Linked DNA regions of Schizosaccharomyces pombe. Each later gene encodes a partner of the first gene's protein in a complex. Each region holds a gene or a part of one and is shown on either strand. Other genes may lie near its edges.

Region 1 (9,359 bases):
ATTGTATTGTCATAATAACATATTAACAAGGCATAAAACAATTATACAAGAATTATATCTGCTTTGACTATTCAATAAAAAAAAACATATGCTAATATTTAGGTAAGCATTTATTTGTTTACAAATAAATTGGCTGACACCCTTCCCATTCGTTTAAAAAAACAAACCTCATTTGTTTATAAGCCTTAGATTGCATAACTAAACTTAACCAACAACACGTACTTCTGTAGAAATTATAAGCAAAAGCTTTTCTTTTACAAATTTTTTGGAAGTACAACCTAGCTGTACAGGGTTGCAAGATCGAAACATCGTTTAGCTAGAATGTCAATTTTGAACAGCGGTTCATGCATGATGACTGACACTAATCAAAATATGGAATGTAAAGTTGATTTCAAGAAGGGTGAATTCGATTTGCAACCCTTGCAGATCAATCAATTTGGCTTTACCAAGACACAATTACACAAGCCGTTGACAAGAAACTTGTCAAATAAGGAAGACACACATGTGCCGAAAAGGCAAAAAGTGAGCGAACCTTACTTCAGAGGTGAAACCGAGAGAAATGTGAAAAGTCATCAAGATCGTGCCGCTTCGATTTATCATGAAGCAATGAATGGAGCTTCTGGAATTCATAAACAGATGAGTTTACCAGAATATAGCCCTCAAATGGGTAATTCATGGGAAATCCAAGTTCCAATGACCACCCGTCACTCAATTTCTGAAACCCCTACAAAACCTTTTACCGCGACAACAGCTATTGCTGGGTCAGCTGGTTCGCTTCCCAGAAATACTACAATAGGTTTGCCAGGACCTTCAGCTTTATTGAAACATGAGTCGGGTAAAAATGAGAATCAAGTTAGAGTTTGTTTATACCATAAGCATTATTCGAGATGGTACTTGCCTTTCGATAAAGACGACGATAATCAGTTAGTGGAGGCGTATGCAAAATACTTTAGCAGTGAAAATCGACCATCTATTTTCTACGTTTTACAAGGAATTTCATTTGGACCTGAATGCGAATACGTTTTGCGCCGAAAGCATTGGTGGAATCCTTGGGCAGAAAAGGTGATGCGTAGAGAAATAGTTGAACGCAAGATTGATACACATCCTGGATGTCGTACAGTCGCAGAACGATATGAGCAGATAGAAGCAAGTGGAAGTGAAGAGTTATTAATTATACCGATATATAAAATAAATATGTGGGTTTTATCTCTTCTATTATTTAGCGCTGGCGGATCCGTACTTATTGGTCTATGGATGAGACTCTCTGACCCATCATTCGCACATGGAATGTTACTCAATTTGGGAATCGGAAGTATAGGTAGCTTCCTTTATCTACTCTCGAATACTTGGTGTAGATAAAGTGGCATTTAGTACCCACATTTCCCCATTGCTTGCTTTTTTACGGCAGAGAACATGAATAGACTCATTTATATAGATCTCCTCTTCCTTTTTAATAACATGTACATCTGTACCATCGATTGTCTTATATTCATTATTCCATTCAATAGGTGAAGAAGTAATTATGTGGCGCTCGACAAATTTAAGAATATTGTCCTGGGCTTGTTGCTCAGTAATATGAACTATGTCAGTGGATTTAACGGCAACTCCATTTTTGTATTCAATTGCCCAAGGTTTGACTTTACACTGTTGAAATGCAGCATCATTAGGGACCAAGACAGTGATATGCTGATCTTTTTGTTGGAAGAGATGAACATAATCAGGAAACTGCATTATAAGCTCAGAAAAAATGTTGCAATCTCTTGTTTCGGCAAGCAATTCAAAGAGCCTTGGTTCACGAACTTCTTGCATATTGATAGGTCTTTGGTTAAAAGAGAGTACTGCACTAATAAAACTCGTAGTATAAAGGAAACGAAAGATGTTTAGACAAAACAGCTTCATCATTTTGGAGGGTGTTATTAAAGACACACTGCTTTAACAAATGGTAATCTTAAAAAGAAAAAATCAATTGGCATCAATTAGAACTACTTAATTTTTTTCAAAAGTTAAATAATCCAATTTTGTAAACGTAAGCGACTTGGTAATAGAGGAAAAAAACGCCTGTTTTAACAAAAACAACGATTTGATGAACGGTAGATCTTTGGTTGTTGTTACGACATAACAATTTTTTTTTTTTTTTTTTTTTTAAACACGATTAAGAAGTTTTTAAAATTTAATACTTTTTTGTTTTCTTAGTTTTTCTTAAAAGTGATAGATATTTACCTAATTATAAACTATTGTTTTTTACACCATGTATGTAATTAGACACACTCTTAAACCCAACTGCTTTATGCAATTTGATTGTAGTTTATTATGTATAGAAGATACTTGTAGACGTTTGGTTAGATGGTAATCTTCATTATTTTCTGTCACCATTAGTTCCATAAACATTGTGTTCAAAAAATATGATTCAACCATAATACTATATCACATCGCATAACACAACCCATCACTTGTAATATTTATTAATGTTATTTTCTTAAGCTATTTTGCTATTGAAACAAAGTAATCTAATTTACGTGAGTACCCCAAAAAGTAGTCTCCTTATAAGTGGAGAGTGTACGCCTAACAGCGTCTTACCTAGCACACACTTTAACTTTGGCAATCCGATTTGCAACTCATGGACGAAAGCTTCTGTCTAATGATTATGTTGAAATGATGGATTTGTCTTCGAAAGATGCTCTTTCGGACGTTTTAAAAGATACGCACGCACAATCATCTGACCCTTCGTTGTGGGCCATATTTGGTCACCAATCTTCTGACAATGTACATGAAGGAGGTAACGAAAGTGTCTCCGTTGAGCAGGAAATATTTGATTTGAGTCAATTGAGTGAGAGACCCGTGTCTGAGACTGTTTCTAAAGCCTCTATTCCAACGAATATCAACGGTTTATCCCAAGTAAAGCCATCAGCTTTAGAAAAATCCCAGGAGGTGCTATCTTTGCAAAAATTACCTATAAAAGGGCGTAGACCTGCTGGTCGTAGAGGTCGACCAGCTCTAAATACTTCTAATTCTCTTGAAAGAAATGGTACGCGCTATGTTTCCGCGGAGGCTCCTATATCTGTTAAATCCAGCATCCCTGCCATACCGCGTGTCACTTTCGAGAGACTTTGCTATGAATCTGCTATAGCTAGTAATCTTCCACCAAATGCTCTCTCGCCTCTAGAAGCTGAGATGCTTTCTGAAATCCTTGAGAATCCGACATGGCTTTCTCTTTATTTAAGTATACGAAATGGCATTTGTTACCTTTGGCATAGAAACCCGACTCTTTATGTATCATTTAATGAAGCTCTTGGTATTGTTCGTGAAAAAAAAGCATTTCCACTGGCTTCTCTGGCATTTGAGTTTTTGTCTCGTAACGGTCACATAAACTATGGGTGTATATATATTATATCCTCCCTAAAATTAGATGAATCTCTTTCCCAAAAAACTGTTGCTATTATAGGCGCAGGCATGGCAGGAATATCTTGTGCTCGCCAGCTAACCAACCTATTTGCTCAATATGAGCAAGATTTCTTAAGCCGGGGAGAAAAACCTCCTCGCATAGTTATATACGAAGCTAGTGAACGTTTGGGTGGCCATATCTATACCCATATGGTTCCATTGAGTGATAATGAAGTTAGTGAAAAAAGTTCTCTAGCTACAACTGTGAATGCCACAAATGAATGTATGGTTAACTTATTGACCGATTCTTTAATCGGAATGCCCACGCTCGACAGTGACCCCTTATACATAATTTCCTCACAACAGCTTTCGTTAGATGCAGTACATACTAGAAATAGAGAGTTTATCTTACATGATATCGAAAATGGAAGAATTGATACCGAACATGTTCAACGTATTTTTCGTTTATTTGATGCTTTACTTTTTTATTTCAATGCTTCAGCTAGTAAACAGCCCCTTCATTCGTTGATTACTCCTCCTGAGCAAGAATTCATTCAAAAGCTTGACCAAATTGGTTGGTATATTTCAATTGAAGCCTTTCCTTTACAAATAAAGGACACTTTGTCTGAATTTCTTGGTAATTCGGCTAACACCCTCACTTCTTTATTGCATCTTACTGTTTTAGATTTAAAAATTTTTGAATGGTTTAAGGAATACCTTTCACAATCACTCTCTGTTTCTCTTGAAAATGTTTATCCGGGAAGCATTCCAAACCTGAATTTATTATTAGGTGAAAATGTCGCTTCATATTCCTTCAAACATGGAATGGCGGATATGCTAAACTCCCTTGCTTCAACACCTTCTCCACTTCCAATTCTTTTTGACCAGTGTGTCCATACTGTAAAGCTAGAAGATAATACGGTTAACTTATCATTTGTAAATGAAACAACAGTTTCAGTCGATAAAGTGGTTATATGTATACCTATGGACAAGCTGAATACCCATTTGATTACCTTCGAGCCGCCTCTCGAAGAAAAGAAGCTAAAGGCTATTGATAGATGTCATTTTACCAATGTGAAAAAGGTTATCCTCATTTTTAAAACCCAATTCTGGGAACCAAACATAAGTATATTTGGTTCACTACCACAAGATTCAGGTAGAAACTTTATATTTAACGATTGCACTCGATTTTACGAACATCCCACATTATCAGTCTTTGTGAAGGTTGAAGGGATCGACTTTATGAAGGATGATGATATAGTGAATGGGATTGTATCTCAACTTAAAAAAGTTTATAAACCGAAATCAGAAGCCATAAATCCTATTCGAACGATTATCAGTAACTGGGAGAATAATTCTTATACAAATCACTCATCATATCAAATATCCAATTTGTTTTTGGAAGAGGATTATGCAATATTGTCTGAGCCCATTGACAATACTGTGTTTTTTGCTAGTGAAGCAATTTCCCAAAAAAATTCAGGTTCGATACGCGGCGCATTTGATTCGGGCATACTGGCTGCTAGAGATGTTTTGGCTTCGTTAATAGGCAATGTTGTTTTACCTAACACTCTCGTTATTGAGGAAAACTTGGAACAACCCCGTAAAACGTACGGCACGAAGCGAAATGCTCAACAAGCTTTAGGCAAAGAGGGAGAAAGAGAAAATAAGGAAAAGCGCATTTCATACCATACCGAGTATTTACGCTTGAGACAAAAAAGACTTGATAAAGAACAGCAAGAATGTGATTTACTAATTGCCGAATTATTGGGACCGTCTCCTGTTCCACCATCAAGGCCTAGTGCTAATCCTTACCTTTTGTACCAAAAAACTCAATGGCACGTTTGTAAAACTCTAGCAGATCAGGATAAACAAAGAGTTACTGGCGATCCTGAAGCACGTGCCACAAAAAATGAGATACGTGCAAAATTGGGAAAGACATGGCGAGCCTTGGATAGTTTAGGTAAACAACCATGGGTTGATGAAATTAACGCGAGACGAGCAAATTATTCAACTCGCCTGGAAGAGTATCAACGTCAAATTAATTCCTACAATGTGAGAGTTGCCCAAATTAAATCCGAACATCAGCGAAGATGTGAATCTCAACCAATTCCTGAAGATGAGGCTAAGTTAAAATTACTTGCTGAACAAGAGGACGAACATCTACATCCTGAAAAAGAGGGCATGTCCGTTGAAAATAGTGATGATGATTATCATGATGATTTAGATTATGAGGATTCAATAAGTGAAGTATTCCCTGACAATTTCTCATGAGCTTCATTTAAAGTTTTTTTTTAAGGGTAGTTTATATGAGATAAAGATCAATTTTTACGTTTAAGTTATAATGGTATACTAAATTTTATTTTTTCATAGAAAGGAATGACATTTATGAAATGCATATCATCTTGTAAATCCACTTGTCGAAGCTTCCTAACCACCATAAACCCAATTCTCTACGATTTGCTTGGTTATCACATATATACGAGCTCTTTAGAGAAATACTAATATGTCAAAAAAATATGGCGGTCAAATTTCGTTTGATCCACCAGCTAGGTTGGAAAAAGATCAAGTCGTCGCCAAAGTTGTGCAACTTAAAGGATCTGCGCTTTTTATGGTAGTAGAAAACAATGGACAGGAATTACTTGTTGAGATGCCTCCAAAGTATCGTAATAAAATATGGGTTAGGAGAAATGGGTTTGTAATAGTTGATAAATCTGAGTTTTTAGAGAAGGACAATAAAATTGACGGTACTATATTGTACGTGGTACAAAGCCCTTTAAAAAATTGGAAAAAACAAATTTATTGGTAAGAAATTCTCTTGAAATAACATTAGATGATTGTGCTAACTAGTTTAAAGGCCTAAAGAGTTTGCAGATGAATCGTTAAATCAAAACGATTCTGAGGAAAGCAGCAGTAGCGAGGAAGAATACGATAGTGACTAACAATTTACAAAAAATACATATATTAAGAATCCTTACAACGAACCTTGTAAATTAAACCGATGATAAAAAGCGTATAACGGGAAATGCTTGCAAGAATTACTTCATCCCACAATCGCTCATTACAATTGAGTACTTTGTTACACTTTAAACAATCCAATGAGAAATACTGATATTATTACCCTAACATTAAGATATTATACTAACCTTTTCATTGAAACTGAAATCACCATGCATTAGCTTTATAGCAATCCTCACCATAAAAAGCAATGACAATCGTGCGATCATTAAATTTACAACCTTTCATCTCTTCCATTGCGACCTCTGCAGATCTGATATCGGAGTATCGTACAAAAACCTTTCCAGTTCCTAATCCCGAGTTTCTAGTGCCAATACTACGAGGAATTTTTATATCTATAAGTGGTCCATAATTCGAAAATTGGGTCTTTACAGACTCATATATGTCTTCATATTCTTGTACATCCATAATTTCGTCCCCAGTAATTAAATTATGTAATTGTAAGACTCTAGTTGGAATAGATTGTGATGACGCCTTAGCAAGTTCTGTCAAAATGGCCATTCCATTAGACTTATCTATCATAGCTTGATTGAGACCTACACAAGCAAATTGTGCGTGTAACTTGTTCCCATACGTATCTTTACCATCAAGACCGCTGATAGCTACTTCCGCATCAGAAGGATTTTTAAATTCGCAAAAACAAAAACCCTTCGAAGATCCATCTGCAATATTTTTTATCAATTGAAAGCTTAATAAATCACCGAAAGGCTTAAGTAGCTCCACCACTTGATCTTCGCCTAAATTTAAAGGTAAATTTGAAATGTAAATTTTGTCTTTTGAATCTAAAACGTCGTTCTTGGCATAATCATCACTTCTTTTTTGAGAAACTTCGGGGGTAATTTGAGGGACGATGTAATTTTGAATTCTTTGAAATTTTAAAAAGACATCATTAGAATATGATTCGGACTGAAGCCCCCAGAGGAAGGTGGCATCTTCAGGAGTAGCGACCTCAAGAATAGCAAAGTTTTCTTCTTTACAGACGTTGACAGAGGAGAAATGCTTTGTCTCGGGTTTATGGTATGTAGTTGAAATAAATAGATCTTCGATAAATGATACAAAAGCATCTTCAACGAATTCGTTAGGAATTCCAGTAACCACTAGTCGACGAGCCTGTCTGCTAGCACCTGGTTGTAAGGGCGGAGGGGGAGCAATAATACTTCCTTCCGCAGAGCGAGCAAATTCTAGCAATTTCTCTGGATCAGTAACTGCAGCTCTAGGAGCGCCTGGCAAAGGAAAAACACCAGACATTTTCGCCTGGTCAGCAGTAACCAATTCATAACCAGGTGGTTTAATGTCCCATAAAGAGCGCTTCCTTTTCCACTGATTTATTGGTGTTACATCTCTCAATTGTTCGAGTTCCTGTTCGATAGACCTTACGCTTCTTTCTCGGCTGGGAGGTGGACTTCTACTTCTTCCGACAGATGAATAACGTAATGATCGAGGCTCATAATCATCATATCTTCTTTCTCTTCTTGGCCTCTCATCCTCTCGATAACTTCTTTCACGAGATTCTCTATGTCTACGAAAATCACTTTCGTCTCGGCGACGTCTTCTAGGTCGTTCAGAGCCATAATGGCCTCTCGGGTCTTCCCTTCCTATCCCACCCGAACCTCTTTCTCGTCTAGGTTCTTCATCGCGATAATCTCTGTGTCGCTTGGGTATCCGTGAAGAACCTGATGATAATCTGGAAGACAAATCCATGTTAGTGAATGAATATGAGGCTATTTAAAAAATTATTCAAAAAAGAAGGGAGGGAAGAAATTCGTTTATTAAAATGAACTCTTAAATTCTCCGGAAAAAACTTTGATGAAAGTAGGGAATACAAAAGTACAAATTCTAATGAAATGATATGCGCGTCAATGCTCTTGGATTCCTTGCTAAAAAAAATTTATAACATGAACAATAATAATTAACTTATTTTTTCTTTATGTGATACGCCCAAGGTTAGTCAAAAGTTTCGACTTACTAAGTTAAGGTAGTGAGAGTTTGTAGTAACTTCGCCAGCGTCGTAATTTTAAGCACAACGTTGTTGACTTACATTTTCTTTTTAGTTTCAAATAGCAACTTTCGCTAAACTTGCATTATAGACAACACTGTAACTTACGAATGCAGTTAAATTTTCAAAAGCATTTATTTAAACTGTTGTCCTTACCCTAGTACCATTCTCCTAAGTTTTAACGAATTTTTCTCTTTTGACCATAGTATTTGATTGTATGGCTTTCTTTTAAAGCAATCTTTAAAAATTTACAGCTGCCATGAAATTCAATAATTTTCGTTTTTTTTTTGCCAGTACATCCACGATAGATTTAATGTTTGTCTCATTTTATCCTTGAAATCCATGCTCTTAAATTGTATGTTCAATCTTTTAAAAATTTACTTTATTACACAAGAAGACGTTTACATTCATTCAAAATTTATTATTATTTATTTTCATACTAGCTTTCCATTGTTGTAAAAGCCGCTCTTTTTTTTAAATATTTGTTTACTTACGGCCATCATCTTGTGCACTTATTCAGTCGCGCTGCTGTGATATCTAAAAATTCATGAAACGATTCTTTAATGAAGCGTGCGACATAAACACTCCAGATAAATCTGGGGTAAACGAGAACAAGTTATGTTTCCCTCCCTTAAAAGTTGTATGTCAAGCACCAGAGACAACAGTTAAAGGACAAGTTGCCAATACTAATAAGCACAATGTATATTCTACTAAAAATTCAATGTATCTGCTGGGGTTCGAAGAAATCCTAAACACCGTCCTCGATTGTGAACCGCATATCTTTACTGATGATGAGTTGAGGGTTATTGAAAACTTTAAAGCTTTAGACTCGGATGAACGGTACTTGTTTGTTCGTCTATTCATGCGTAAAAGAAATAAATGGTTCCGCGTGGGCCATTTGACTTATCCAGATTGCAAGGATGTTATTGCCTGCTGTAAGCAGCTTGTTCTGAAAAATTTTTTT
Region 2 (6,067 bases), on another chromosome or scaffold:
CTCTAAGATAGTATTTGTCATACATGCAATTTCCTAAACTGTTTCCAAAATTTCGTAGAGCGCGTTTTAAGGCATCTGTAGTGCCCTCTTTCTTGCATTTCTCAAACGCTGAAGCCTTTCCACGGCAATTATCAATAGAACCGTATCCAATATCTTCATGATAGGCACCATCTTTGATTGTCACGCGAACAATCACGCTCAAGCCAAGACTGATACGTCCATTTTCCTTATTTTCGTCCATAAAGTCAACATTAATGCTGCGTATCGACGAAGACCACCCATTAAATCCAAAAATTTCGTTCGCAAGCTCAATTGCTTTCCAAGACTCAATATAACTGACTGAAAAACCCCCAGGACCTGACCTTCTTGAAACGTACTCAGGTCCAAGCTTTCGAGTTAGGGAGCTTTGAAGAAAGTTAAACTCTTCATGAGAATACGCTGTGTTAAAATGGCCCTGGTCTTCTGATGCTACATGCTGTTTTTGCTCAAAAGACATCCCTTCTAGCTTATATGAAGCAGTATATTAGCTGTGTGCACATGGACAGGTACCAAGTAATAAAGAAAGATAAGGTAGCATAGCGAGTAACCACTTAATGAAAATAAAGATCTTACAAATCATCAGTAATGAATATTACTTAAAGAATGTAGATACAAAAATAAAAACAAAATTTTATTTGAATTAAAGGATTTTCGTAATTACTAATCAATTAATCCCTTGGTCCAATCGAATTTTTCAAAACGACTGCGAAACATATCTTCGCGTGGATCTTTTTTACCTGTCCAAGAACCTTTCCTTCTGATTACTTCAGGAGGAAGGTTTAGCATACTGGCAAATACCTGCCTAGGAACTTGATCGTGCCTCCCCCATGCCTTCTCGTCTTCCACGACATGCCCGTAGCCACCATCAATACTGAACCAAACATGAAAATAACCCAATTCTAATCATTAGTAAAATAAATGATTACGATTTTCCAAACATACCCTTAACCATCATTTTTCGAAAAGCCCATTTTCCATACTTCTTCGAACCTTCTAATGTATCAATAATTTTTCGATGTTGAGACCACTCCTCGTCAGAAGTAGACAAAGCTTCACGGAAGTAAGCAGGTGCAAGTGAGAGGATCCTTTTAGAGACTGGAATACACTCAATAGCTGTGTGCATATATCTTTGTGGTGAAGGCGCGTTTTCATAAAAAATAACACCAAGATTCATGGAATCAAACATTAGGGCGATGCATTTCATAAAATTCTAAAAAGGTTTGTTAGTTATTTCCTTTTACTATATTAACATACTCTGATTTCATCCCATTCATCCTCATCACAGCTGAGGGTATTTATCCGATGTCCTGTAGGAACAATTAAACAATGATATTTAGCTAATTCGGGTTGAGTTGGTAAAGAAACATAAGCACGATGACTTAAAGATATTACTGGTGCCAAAGGTTGTGTTTCATAATTTAGGCAAAGAGGACAAGTGTCCAAAACATGATTAATTTTTTTAAGATCCCCACCACTACTAATTTGAGCTAGACTGACGTCTCCGCGCTTCATTCGATTAGAAAGTTTCCCTGCATTTTCGTCCAAATAATCCAGATTGTTAGAATAAGTTTTATCCTTTGCAATCTGCTTTGCGTATTCATAATTCTGGCCGTATTTCCGTTGTTTATTCAACAATTTTTCTTCCTGTACCATCTCATCAATAGTAGGATCGTCGAAGTTTCTTTTTTTTGATGGTATGGTTGCTTGCGAATTAGAATTTTCCGAAGGGTGTAAAGAGTTTTCGAAGTCATCACAAGCTTTCTGATATTCCCTTTCTAAAGACTCATAGTTAGGATCCTTTTTAAGTTGAGCACGTAACAAATCAGCTTTTAATCTATTCAAATCGCTTTCAGTGGGAGTATCTTTATTTACAGAAGGGTCAGGTATTACTTTGTAGTATGTAGCGCCATTACCAGAATCTTTTCTAGTCTTAAATTCATCAGCACATCGTTTTTCATATAATTCGCCAGTAGGAACTTCTTTCTGAACTTTTCGAGTTCGTTTTCGAAGCTCTAACTCATCTCTTTCTTCCAAGGCAAAATCAAATTCTTTCAATGAACCATAACGTTCCAGAGCTACTTCTTCAACGGGGCGTCGTTGGTCTTGAGCCATGTCAAATACGCGTTTGAGCTTCATCATACGCCATCGAGAGCCATTATCACCAATTTTGTAATTAATTCCTGACTCATTAATTTCGGTTTCAAGCTGTTCTATATCTTTATGTTCTGTACTCGTCGAACTCTCATTCTGTAATGTTGCACCAACAAAAATTTCACCAGGCTTATTGGACTTTCGGTCAATAGGTTCTCTTTGTATACGCGAACCGAACGTACCAAAATCCAAACCTTGCAATGAATTAGTAAAGTCATTATTCTGTGGATTGTCTTTGGAGGATGGCATGGAAGAAGCAGAAGCGAATTTGGAGTCAAAGTATTCATTTTCAACAGGAAGTTTCTTTACCTCCAATGGCTCTTTACTAAATCTTTCATGCCTACTTCGGTCACCTGCTTCTCTAGAGCTTGGCCTTTCACTGCGATCATGTCGTCCATGCTTGCTCTCACGATGCCTAGAGTGGTGGTGACGATGCCTTCTAGAGTGATTTGTTTCTCTGTCAGTTTCATTGAATTTGTGAGTACTGGTCCTATTTGTAAGCTTTTCCTTTTCCATAATGGACGTTATTTTAATATTAATTCATGAAATAAATAATTTTTAACAATAATTAGAGGCAAAATGGTGGGAAAAAGGAAATAATGTTTTTATTGTAACTTAACGATGGTAGTAGTACATTCGTTAAGTCAAGTGGTTCAGGCACTATGCAGATCTAAACAAGCAACGCAAATGATAGTTTTGCCAGGAGTTTAGTTTAGACAATGATCAGAATTCTCTTTTAAATTAAAAAAAATTGTAAAATATTGCGTTGAAATGGAAAGAAAAGAAAGTGAAACAATTAAGTTTGAAAGAAGGAGTATCGGCCTTTGCAGTATTCCACATTGACAGTGAAAGGCGATACAATAACTTTAGGATTCCAAAATATATACCACTAACTTCAAACAAAAACCTTTTAAATAACGCAAGGACTTTAGTAGTACTAAATTACCCATTGTTTATTTGAACTTCATTACAAATAAGTTGGAAAGAATAATAAAATACCTCGCGCTAACTACTGTATAGTGTGTCTTGCGCTAGTGTACAATGAGTTTATGATACTAGCAAAGCTACACAACAGCCACAGAAAAAAAAGCATTGTTTGTTTCCAAACTGTGACGATTTTTTATACCTGTATTTCCAGTGTAATTGGATCATTGCAATTATATTTTCTTTAGCAAAGTACTAAAGAAGTCTGTTTATCGCCTTTAATAGCATACAAGTTCAATCAATTATAGCTGTTAGGCCATCTAGGAAATATAAACAAAGGAAAGACCAAATTTTCATTCATATTTATAGCTATGACTAGTTAATGCATGAATAATTAAATTTAACAAAATTAAAAATAAAAAAGCTCTAATAAATGTGAGATTTCAGCTCTTCATGGATACGTGCAGTATTTATATATGACTAGACAGTGAGTTGTAGTGAGAAGTGAATAAGCGAGATATAGTGATGATCAATCTCATTTCGCTAGCAAAACATAATTGGAGTAACAGCAGCAAACGATTTATAAGTTGCGTTAAATCTCACCTAAATTCCAAACACGCGTGTTGAACTTACACATTCGCATTTTTTGCCATTTGCTTCATTTTTTCATTTGTTTTTTACATGAGCATATGAATGATTTAAAACCTAATGCCGAATTCATCGTACTATGACGACGATGGCGGTTCTTTTGAAGCGGCATCATATCCTTTTCAATTCGACGGTAGTCGTCGATTTCCCAATGATTTGCATCCAACGATGTTTGAGGGGGAGGAATCTAATCAAAATGGAGGCTCTGTGCTAATAGATCAAGCCTTTCAGGATATACAAAATCCTAACGTGAATTCAAACATGCATTTGGAAAATCAGTTCCAACACTTTCACGAGCCAAACAAGGAGTCAGGTGCTTTCGGTTCGTACAAAAATGATGATGTTGCTAAAGAAATAGAATCTAGTAAAAATCAGGAAACCGATGCAAAAAGCGAACAGGCACCTTTCACTGAAGACGCATCTTCATCTAATTATGCGCATCATAGAAGTGCTGATTCCCAAACAAAATCTGCGTTACCCCCAAATGTTCCTGCAAGTTCATCGCCATTACCTCCTATGTCAATTGCTATGAACATTGCTCGGAAAAGATCATGGCCTGCCAGTTTGGCTATTGAACGTGACAACACCGCTGACGCCCTCTTTTCTACTGAAGATGGTAGGGAAGAGCAATTTAATTTGGAAGGTGTCAAAACAAAATCAGGAAGAAAAGTGCATCGCCCTAATCATTTCGATCCCCTTGTAAAATTACCTACTAGACGACGTGGCCCAGGTCGTCGACCTGTGGTCGCATTAGCTATGAAATGTTCGGTTTGTCAACGACTTCAATCTCCACCAAAAAATCGCATCGTTTTCTGTGATGGTTGTAACACTCCATTCCATCAACTTTGTCATGAACCCTATATTTCTGATGAACTTTTAGATTCCCCCAATGGAGAATGGTTTTGTGATGATTGCATTAGGAGAAAAAAGCAAGCGCCTCTCGTAACTGGAACTACGGCACGAGAACTAAATCTGTCTTCGGAAGAGAAAAAGTCTTATCTTTTAAGTCTTCCGATCTCCCAACTGGTTGACATCCTATTATTCTGTGAGCAATTACATCCCGACATCCCGTTCTATAGTCCTAAAACTTCCACTATTGTCCAAGAGCTCCAAAGCAAAAGGTCTGCCTTTACAGCTACTATGAATGAACCTGTAACGGGAGATCAGTATCTAAGTCTAAATAATGGAACAGAATCACAATCGAAAACAACCAAGCATTCGACGTCCTTACCTTCGACCGAACCAGTTGAAGTGGATAAGCAATACATGGAGAGTGAAAAAATTCCTACCATAGATGAATACTTACAAGAATATAGCAATGAAGATGAAATAGTTTTACAAGTTTTAGAATCTTTCCCTGCTGCTGTTTCTTTTTCTACTATCACTAACACTATTCAAGCGTAAGTTTTCTATATATTTTCCTGACATCGTCAATTACTAATATTCTAGTAAATACTCGAATAGAAAAATTAAAAATTCGAACATAACTCGAAGCTTAAACAGACTGGTCCGTAAAAACCGTGTTTTACGTGATGCGAGGGGTAGCAGCTATGAACTGAACAGAACGTTTGATGCCGATCGACCATCAGTGCGCCCTGACATATCTATAACCGGCCCCATTCCTATCGATTGGATGCTGTATACGCCTCACACAGAGGATTTAACCGAAAACTTTTGTACTTATTATATGTTCGACGAAACTCCAATTGTTCTTAGTAGTATTTAACGAGTATCTTACATTCTGCATTGTTTGTTGAAGGGTATAACAACATTAATGATTTCAATTTATTCCAAGATTTAAAAAAATTATTAAAAAGTAAAGGTAGAGGATATTATAACTATACAGTCAGTAGCAAAAGGTTCTTGAATATGTTTAAAGACGGAGTTGTAAAGAATAAATAATTTTGAGTAATTCATGTAAATAAATAACAGATTTATGTTGTCCAAAATTTACGGTCCTAAAAATAAATTAAACCAGATCTTCAATATCTTGTAAACTTTGTTGGGAGAAATACTGGGATGATTTTTTTGCAACTCGCTTTGACCTGCGCAGTGACCTAGTTTCTTTTGTAGTTGAATGGAATGCGACAGGTGGCTTCTGATCTACATCAATATCAGCGGCTGGTTCTTTTTTCAAAGGTTCATTCATGTGTGATATACTATCAACAGGGTCCAAGTCCTCAAGTTTTATAAGTGATTTATCTTCGATGCTTTGGTAATACAAATCATCTGTAGGAAGGGAGAGTGGAGATAGAGGAGGTGACTCAGAAGCAGGTCTTTTTTTGACTCTTTTAATCGTTTTGAC
Region 3 (6,351 bases), on another chromosome or scaffold:
CCCTTACAGCCGCTACCTGGAGCGTCGCGAACAGCGATGGAAGCTTTTCCTTCAAGAAAACGGTATAGACTATATACACCAATCTCCTAGTATTTTTCCTAGCCGCAGTGCTAAAACTCAACGATTTATTCGCAAAGGAATACCACCCGAGTATCGTGGCAATGCCTGGTTTTATTACAGCGGTGGTTACGAATTACTTCAGAGAAACCCTAAACTGTACGAGACTCTATGGCGTTGTGCGTGCATAAAAAAGCCCTCAGATTCTGACCTTATTGAACGTGATCTATATCGTACCTTTCCAGACAATGTACATTTTCGACATAAATCCAAGCATTCTAGGAACTCATCCGACGCATCAGAGCATTCATCAGAGGAGCCTGATGTTCCAATGATTTCAAAACTGCGTCGTGTTCTAATGACTTTTGCAACATACTTACCTGAAAATGGTTACTGTCAAAGCTTGAATTTTCTTGCTGGTTTCTTCCTGCTTTTTATGAGTGAAGAAAAGGCGTTTTGGATGCTCGTAATTACGTGTCGTAAATATTTACCAAAGATGCATGATGCCAATTTAGAAGGTGCTAACATCGACCAAAGTGTTTTGATGGCATCCGTTCGAGAAAGCTTACCAGCGGTTTGGAGCCGCATCAGTCTTAATTTTGATGGTATACCCGTCAATGATATTGTGGCAAAGCTTCCTCCCATTACTCTCGTAACTGCTGCCTGGTTTATGAGTGCCTTTGTTGGCATTTTACCTACGGAGACTGCTCTTCGTGTATGGGATTGTTTTTTCTATGAAGGCAGCAAAGTTTTGTTTATGACGGCATTGTGTATTTTAAGACTTGGTGAAGATGATATAAAGTCGAAAAGTGAGCAGACAGAGGTATTTCAGGTGATTCAAGATTTACCCAAATCGTTACTTGACGCTAATGCATTTCTCTCCTTGTGTTTCCGAAGGAATTTTAGGCGCACTCCCTCCCAAAAGGATATAGAGCGTCGAAGAGAAAAGGTTGCAAAAAAGCGTAACTCTTCTGCTTCAAAGCTTGAAATGAGTGATTCTTCGAAACATCACCTTAGTCGTTCATCATCACGATTCAGCAAGTCGCATATAATATCTCAGCTTCATAATCACTTGAAGAAGTCTACTTAGTTATGTCTGTTTACCAATTGAGTTTGCCCATTGTCAAACCTGTCAAACCTTTACTCTCGTTACTAATTTTATGAATGCCCTTGTTCGTTAAGAATTTGGTTGATTGGTTCAGATTTTTATTATTTTTTTACATTGCTACATTGAACAGCCCTTATTCTATTAATTTTGAAATGTTTGTATGAACGTCGTTCCATCACTTATTTGTTCAGCAGATTATTATTTTAGGTAGTCATTGACTCCACTATACACTCGTTTTATTCGGGCATATGCCATTATTTTTGCAAATCGATCTATTTATATGTCTCTTTTGTATAATTGCCTCTTTCTTGTTTGCATAACAATCGATTTTATCTCCCGTTGACACTGGGAATCGAGTCACTAATGTCGGCATGCTTGATATTATTAACATAGCATTATAAGATCACTGTTTTATCATTTTTTGTAGTTAGCCCTCAGTCTGTATTTTTATAAATCATTTGTTGCTAATTCGTTTCAACAGGAAATTGTTTTTAATGTTAATATAAAGTATGAACAATTGATATATTAAAGAAAACACTAAGCTGACCGATGTTTTGTAAAGTATGTATATAAATATATATAAAATTAAAGTTTTCTATTGTGTAATAATAATATGGTTAGTGAAAAGGGATTAAGTAAAGAAGCAACTAATGAAAGAATTAACAGTAATTATAATTAAAATCTTAGAATCTTAAGGATCGATGTTCGATAGAAAACGATTAATTAATGGAGTTTCTTCAAGTATTATGAGTCCCTAAAGGATGAAAGGAGTTATGATATAGTGAGAATAATCAGTTTGTTTAAAATAAAATATCCTTTTCACACATAAAATAAAAAAGCACTTAGTAAATGATGCTTTAGCGAAACCTATTTAATGGTTCGAAACTGCGTTGTTAGATAAAAATTCACAGTTGAGAAAATTGGGAGACGCAACATAGGTAAAGCCTTGAAAAGCAGAGGAATGGCTACCAATTGTTAAATTCCCAAATTCTTCATGAAGAATGGGTGTTGTAGAAAGAGGCAATTTGGTAAACTCGACTGAAAAATTCTCCGCAGCCTCAGGATTGGTGATGCAAGGAACAATTGGGGGAGGCAGCATGCGCTTCTCTAACTTATTCCAATCAATTCGGCGATAAATTCTGTGCTTTTTTATTGCATCGTAACCTTTCTCGGGACCATCTGCGCCGAGGCGTTGCTTTGGATTTTTCTTGAGAAATTTGTTGATAATGTCTCTAGCATCAGAAGTCACATAAAAAGGTATGTTAGGCTTTGCACGAGTGATTTTTTCCATAATTCTCTTATGATTGTTGGCGGTGAAGGGGGGAGATCCTGTAAGAAGATCGAATATGAGGATACCCATAGACCACCAATCGACGGCATGATCATATGGCTGCTCCAACAAAATTTCTGGAGCACAATATTCCTCAGTGCCTACAAAAGAACGACAATCAGCTCCATTTTCAGCCACCTTTGACAATCCAAAGTCTGTAAGAAGGATATGGCCTTCAGCATCCAAAAGACAATTCTCTGGCTTTAAGTCCCGATACACAATACCAAGTTTATGTAAATGTATCAATGCTAGAGTCAATTCAGCAGTATAAAAAGCAACCACATCCTCAGGAAGCATCCTTTGCTCGGCCAAATGAGAAAATAACTCTCCTCCAGGTGCATATTGCAATATCAGATAAAGACGATCGTGGTCTTGAAAAGCATAATAAAGGCGACAAATGAACGGATGTCGAACCTCTTCTAATATCTGTCGCTCATTTTTGGTTTGTTCGAGGCCCTTGGCACGAAGAACAATGCTAGCTTTCTTTAGCTGTTTCTGAGCAAACAGTCGTCCAGTATTTTTTTGCTTCACTAGGAGCACCTTTCCGTAAGAGCCACGACCCAATACCGTTAAGGGTTGAAAGTCTGCTGGACGCATCTTTCCGCTTGGTACATAGTTGTCACCCTTGGAAGAAATAAAATCACCATGGGCAGCAACCTTAAACTCTACCGTCCCCTTTTCATCTTTGGCATTCTTTCCATCCTTCAAATCACTTGACGAAGTGATTGTCGACGCAGATGCCTCCAATTCTTCAAAATCATATCCCTCCTCTGCAATCTCATCGTCACTAGACAAATGGGAATTGTAATTCTCATTCAAATTGTCGTGCTCATCAAACATAAAGACAGGCATCTTTGAGCAATTTGTACTGTGAAGGATCACAAGTTTGGCATATGTATGCCCAAAATGCCTTTTCCTTGTTGTTTGGTAGACGAACAAAAGACTGCCGGGATGTAGAGCAAGAAATTCTCTTTGTCATACCTCATTTTGTTGATTCAAAACGCATTGCTGATTGGCCAATTTAGTAAAGTTTAGATATATATAAAGCTTTTGATTCGCCCTCTTTACTAATTAAAGTTATCAACTTACTACTTATTGGACCGCTTACATAGGCTATTGTGCGTTTTACTTTAAAATTTTTTTATGCCGAGAAGCTAGATTAGTGATGATTAACGTGTCTTATACGATGTGCTTTGTGCATTTTAACGAATGAAAATGTCTTGTTGCTTATGTTGTTACCGTAATGTAAGGCTGGCTCTGTAAAACGATGCCAGTTTTATATGGCCTATGCATACCTTCTTCTTGAGACGCGCGTGTTAAACTCATCTTTCGTTGAATGGCGAATTTACATCAATGAATTGAGATTTAGGAAGATTTACTTTTTACATAAAGTTATTCTATGGTCTCAGATATTTTGAATTAACATTCACTGCGTGACAATTGCGTGTATCATCATTTTAATTTGCGTTTCATGTTTGCTAGTTTCATCTAATTGTGCATTTCGTTTTAAATCAAAATTTTCCAAATTACTCATATTTATTAGTCCTCGTTTTTTACAATGTCTCAAAAGAATTTTTTCGACGAAGGAAAGAGCTATGGTGTAAATGACTATGCCGGTTTCCATTTTGAAAATGGTGCTGATTCATCCCTTCCTCAGGTATCGGCTCAAGGTGTAGTTAGAGAAACGGACAGCTCGAATTTTGATGCTTCCCCTGTCGCATCGGGTTCTGGAATTTCCGATGTTGGACCATTTGGCGCTGATTTCCATCAACTGCAGCAGCATGTACAGACACCGTATGGCGGTATGACTATGCCTGCATCTTCCTCTTCAGGCGCTACTTCAGTACCACCGGAGCAAGATCCTTCTTTGTCTGTATCATTCAATCGCTTGCCCAAGTCTGCATCAACCAAGACTAAGAATGGACGCATTCGATCGTCTCGTCGGGAAGACGATAATCGTATACCATTTTACGATCTCGATGTTGCAGAAGGTGCCGAGGATGATTTACAGGAAGACTTTCACGTGGAAGGAATGAAAACAAAATCGGGTAGAAAGATTCAGCGGCCAGTCGCATACAATCCTAATGCCACCGCATTGAAACGGAAAAGTCGCAAGGTCGATATGGTCACCTTGTGTAGCGTCTGTCAACGAGGACATTCTCCTTTATCTAATCGAATCGTATTTTGTGATGGATGCAATTCTCCATATCATCAGCTTTGCCATCACCCTCCGATTGACGATGCAACCGTTCAGGATGTGGATGCTGAATGGTTTTGTATGAAATGCCAGTACAGGCGTGCCAAGCAACCTTTAGAAACGGGAATGACGGCACAAGATCTTGGGTTAAGTGAATCAGACAAAAAAATGTATCTATCAAGTTTACCTACTCCTCATCTCGCAGATCTTATTCTTTTTTGTGAAAAGTCTTATCCATCTCTTCCCATATACAACCCACGTACTCGGGAGTTGTTGGGTGAGATTCGGCATCAACTACTTGTTAGTTCTGAACGCCAACAAATATCTTTACAAGAGCGACTTCATGCTAAACAAGATGAAGCTCCCTCTGATGAGCCTGCACCTGTCCCCTATACCGCAAGTTATGTTGCGAATTCTGGAACCTTATACGACTATCCAACGTTAATACGGTTAGCTATTCGTAACACCCTCTCACCTTCCAAAGATGAAATATTTAACTGGCTTGCTCAAAACGTACCATTGTTACCAACTTTTCACGACAGCGCTTCCGAGGCCATTCGTTGGATGGTAAATAAAGGTCAACTGGTCCGTTCCGGTAGCATCTATCAAATAGCAACAGTCGAAGAATACCCTCACCTCCAACCCTCTTTACTTCCTACTTTTCAACGAAACCGTAAGGTACCTAAATTGGTGCCTGTCTCTTTCCCCACCGATGATCCTCAAAATTTATGTGCTACTGTTTTATGAAACTGAACAAATTTTTCTAAATGTATAGACAAAAAAAATTTCTTTACTTCCCGTTTTTAATTAAACGGTTGCGTCCCGTTAATCTCGAAATAAATTTATAAGCGGTCGAAAGCAATGTATCATTACACCATGTATTAGCTGCAAATCAAAGTACTTTAGTATTTCCTTCATGGATTCAAACTTTTCACTCGATAACAAATCTAGGGAAAATACATAAATCGCCCTACACACTTTCTGTTTACATTATAAACTTTTCGTTTGGAATGTTTCCTCGCCATGAAATCTTAAAATAAAATAAAATAAGGAAATGAACAATTTCTCAATTTAGCAATAATTAAGAAAGTCAATGAAGTATAATAAAAAATAATTATTTTTAAAGTATGACTTACAACCATTATTATCGGTCAATGTCAGGGTGTTACAGCGCACCTTCTACTTACCACCAAAGATGAGGTCCACGTTGGCTAGCGCTCAGAAAGCAGCCGTACGTATTCCAAAGGGCTTTGTATTTCCTGTTCCAAAAGTAAAAAGTGCTCCTAAGGTTTCAGACACGCACCCTTTGTGGAATTTCTTTCGGGACAAGCAAGCCCTTCCACCACCATCGGAAGAGGCTAAATTCGGTAGAGCATGGGCTGCAGAAGAGCTTCGTTGGAAGTCTTTTAATGATCTACATGGACTTTGGTACAATTGTCTCCGAGAGAAGAACCTATTGTTCACACAAAGGGCTGAAATGAAACGCTTACAGTTGACTATTCCCAAAGCCTCAAATGAGCGTGTACTTGCAGTCAATAAAACCATGGCAGCTATCAAATTTGTCCTATGGGAACGCCAAAGAGCATATACTTCTGCCAAGCAGCTCGAGAAACAAAAGGGATCTTCTTAAACCCCTTCCTTTTAGGAAAACAGAAAATC

Evidence for each region. Proteins that work in one complex are often made in the same cells at the same time.
Region 2: lsd1 (region 1) and phf2 share a complex: the UniProt entries of both Schizosaccharomyces pombe proteins name them as parts of the SWM histone demethylase complex.
Region 3: lsd1 (region 1) and phf1 share a complex: the UniProt entries of both Schizosaccharomyces pombe proteins name them as parts of the SWM histone demethylase complex.

What each region holds. Positions count from the first base shown.
Region 1 is NC_003423.3:1,012,296-1,021,654, reverse strand, and holds lsd1 (histone demethylase SWIRM1), read left to right. Parts: upstream 1-2,413; 5' UTR 2,414-2,652; coding exon 2,653-5,655; 3' UTR 5,656-5,719; downstream 5,720-9,359. Other genes in the region: protein mug97, read left to right, coding at 322-1,359; protein mug57, read right to left, coding at 1,333-1,902; tif1102 (translation initiation factor eIF1A-like), read left to right, coding at 5,888-6,186, 6,239-6,323; prp2 (U2 small nuclear RNA auxiliary factor small subunit, U2AF-59), read right to left, coding at 6,547-8,100; fan1 (fanconi-associated nuclease 1), read left to right, coding at 8,943-9,359. UniProt on the Schizosaccharomyces pombe protein: Catalytic component of the SWM histone demethylase complex that specifically demethylates H3K9me2, a specific tag for epigenetic transcriptional activation, thereby acting as a corepressor.
Region 2 is NC_003424.3:1,101,042-1,107,108, forward strand, and holds phf2 (Lsd1/2 complex PHD finger domain-containing protein Phf2), read left to right. Parts: upstream 1-3,726; 5' UTR 3,727-3,822; coding exon 3,823-5,162; intron 5,163-5,211; coding exon 5,212-5,488; 3' UTR 5,489-5,567; downstream 5,568-6,067. Other genes in the region: DNA recombination mediator Rad52 (previously Rad22), read right to left, coding at 1-496; protein Cwf19, read right to left, coding at 700-938, 982-1,249, 1,294-2,706; nth1 (DNA endonuclease III), read right to left, coding at 5,732-6,067. UniProt on the Schizosaccharomyces pombe protein: Component of the SWM histone demethylase complex that specifically demethylates H3K9me2, a specific tag for epigenetic transcriptional activation, thereby acting as a corepressor.
Region 3 is NC_003421.2:456,064-462,414, forward strand, and holds phf1 (PHD finger domain-containing protein Phf1), read left to right. Parts: upstream 1-3,804; 5' UTR 3,805-4,053; coding exon 4,054-5,439; 3' UTR 5,440-5,851; downstream 5,852-6,351. Other genes in the region: GTPase-activating protein Gyp3, read left to right, coding at 1-1,147; serine/threonine protein kinase S6K family Psk1, read right to left, coding at 2,037-3,347; mrpl4 (mitochondrial 54S ribosomal protein uL29m), read left to right, coding at 5,888-6,322. UniProt on the Schizosaccharomyces pombe protein: Component of the SWM histone demethylase complex that specifically demethylates H3K9me2, a specific tag for epigenetic transcriptional activation, thereby acting as a corepressor.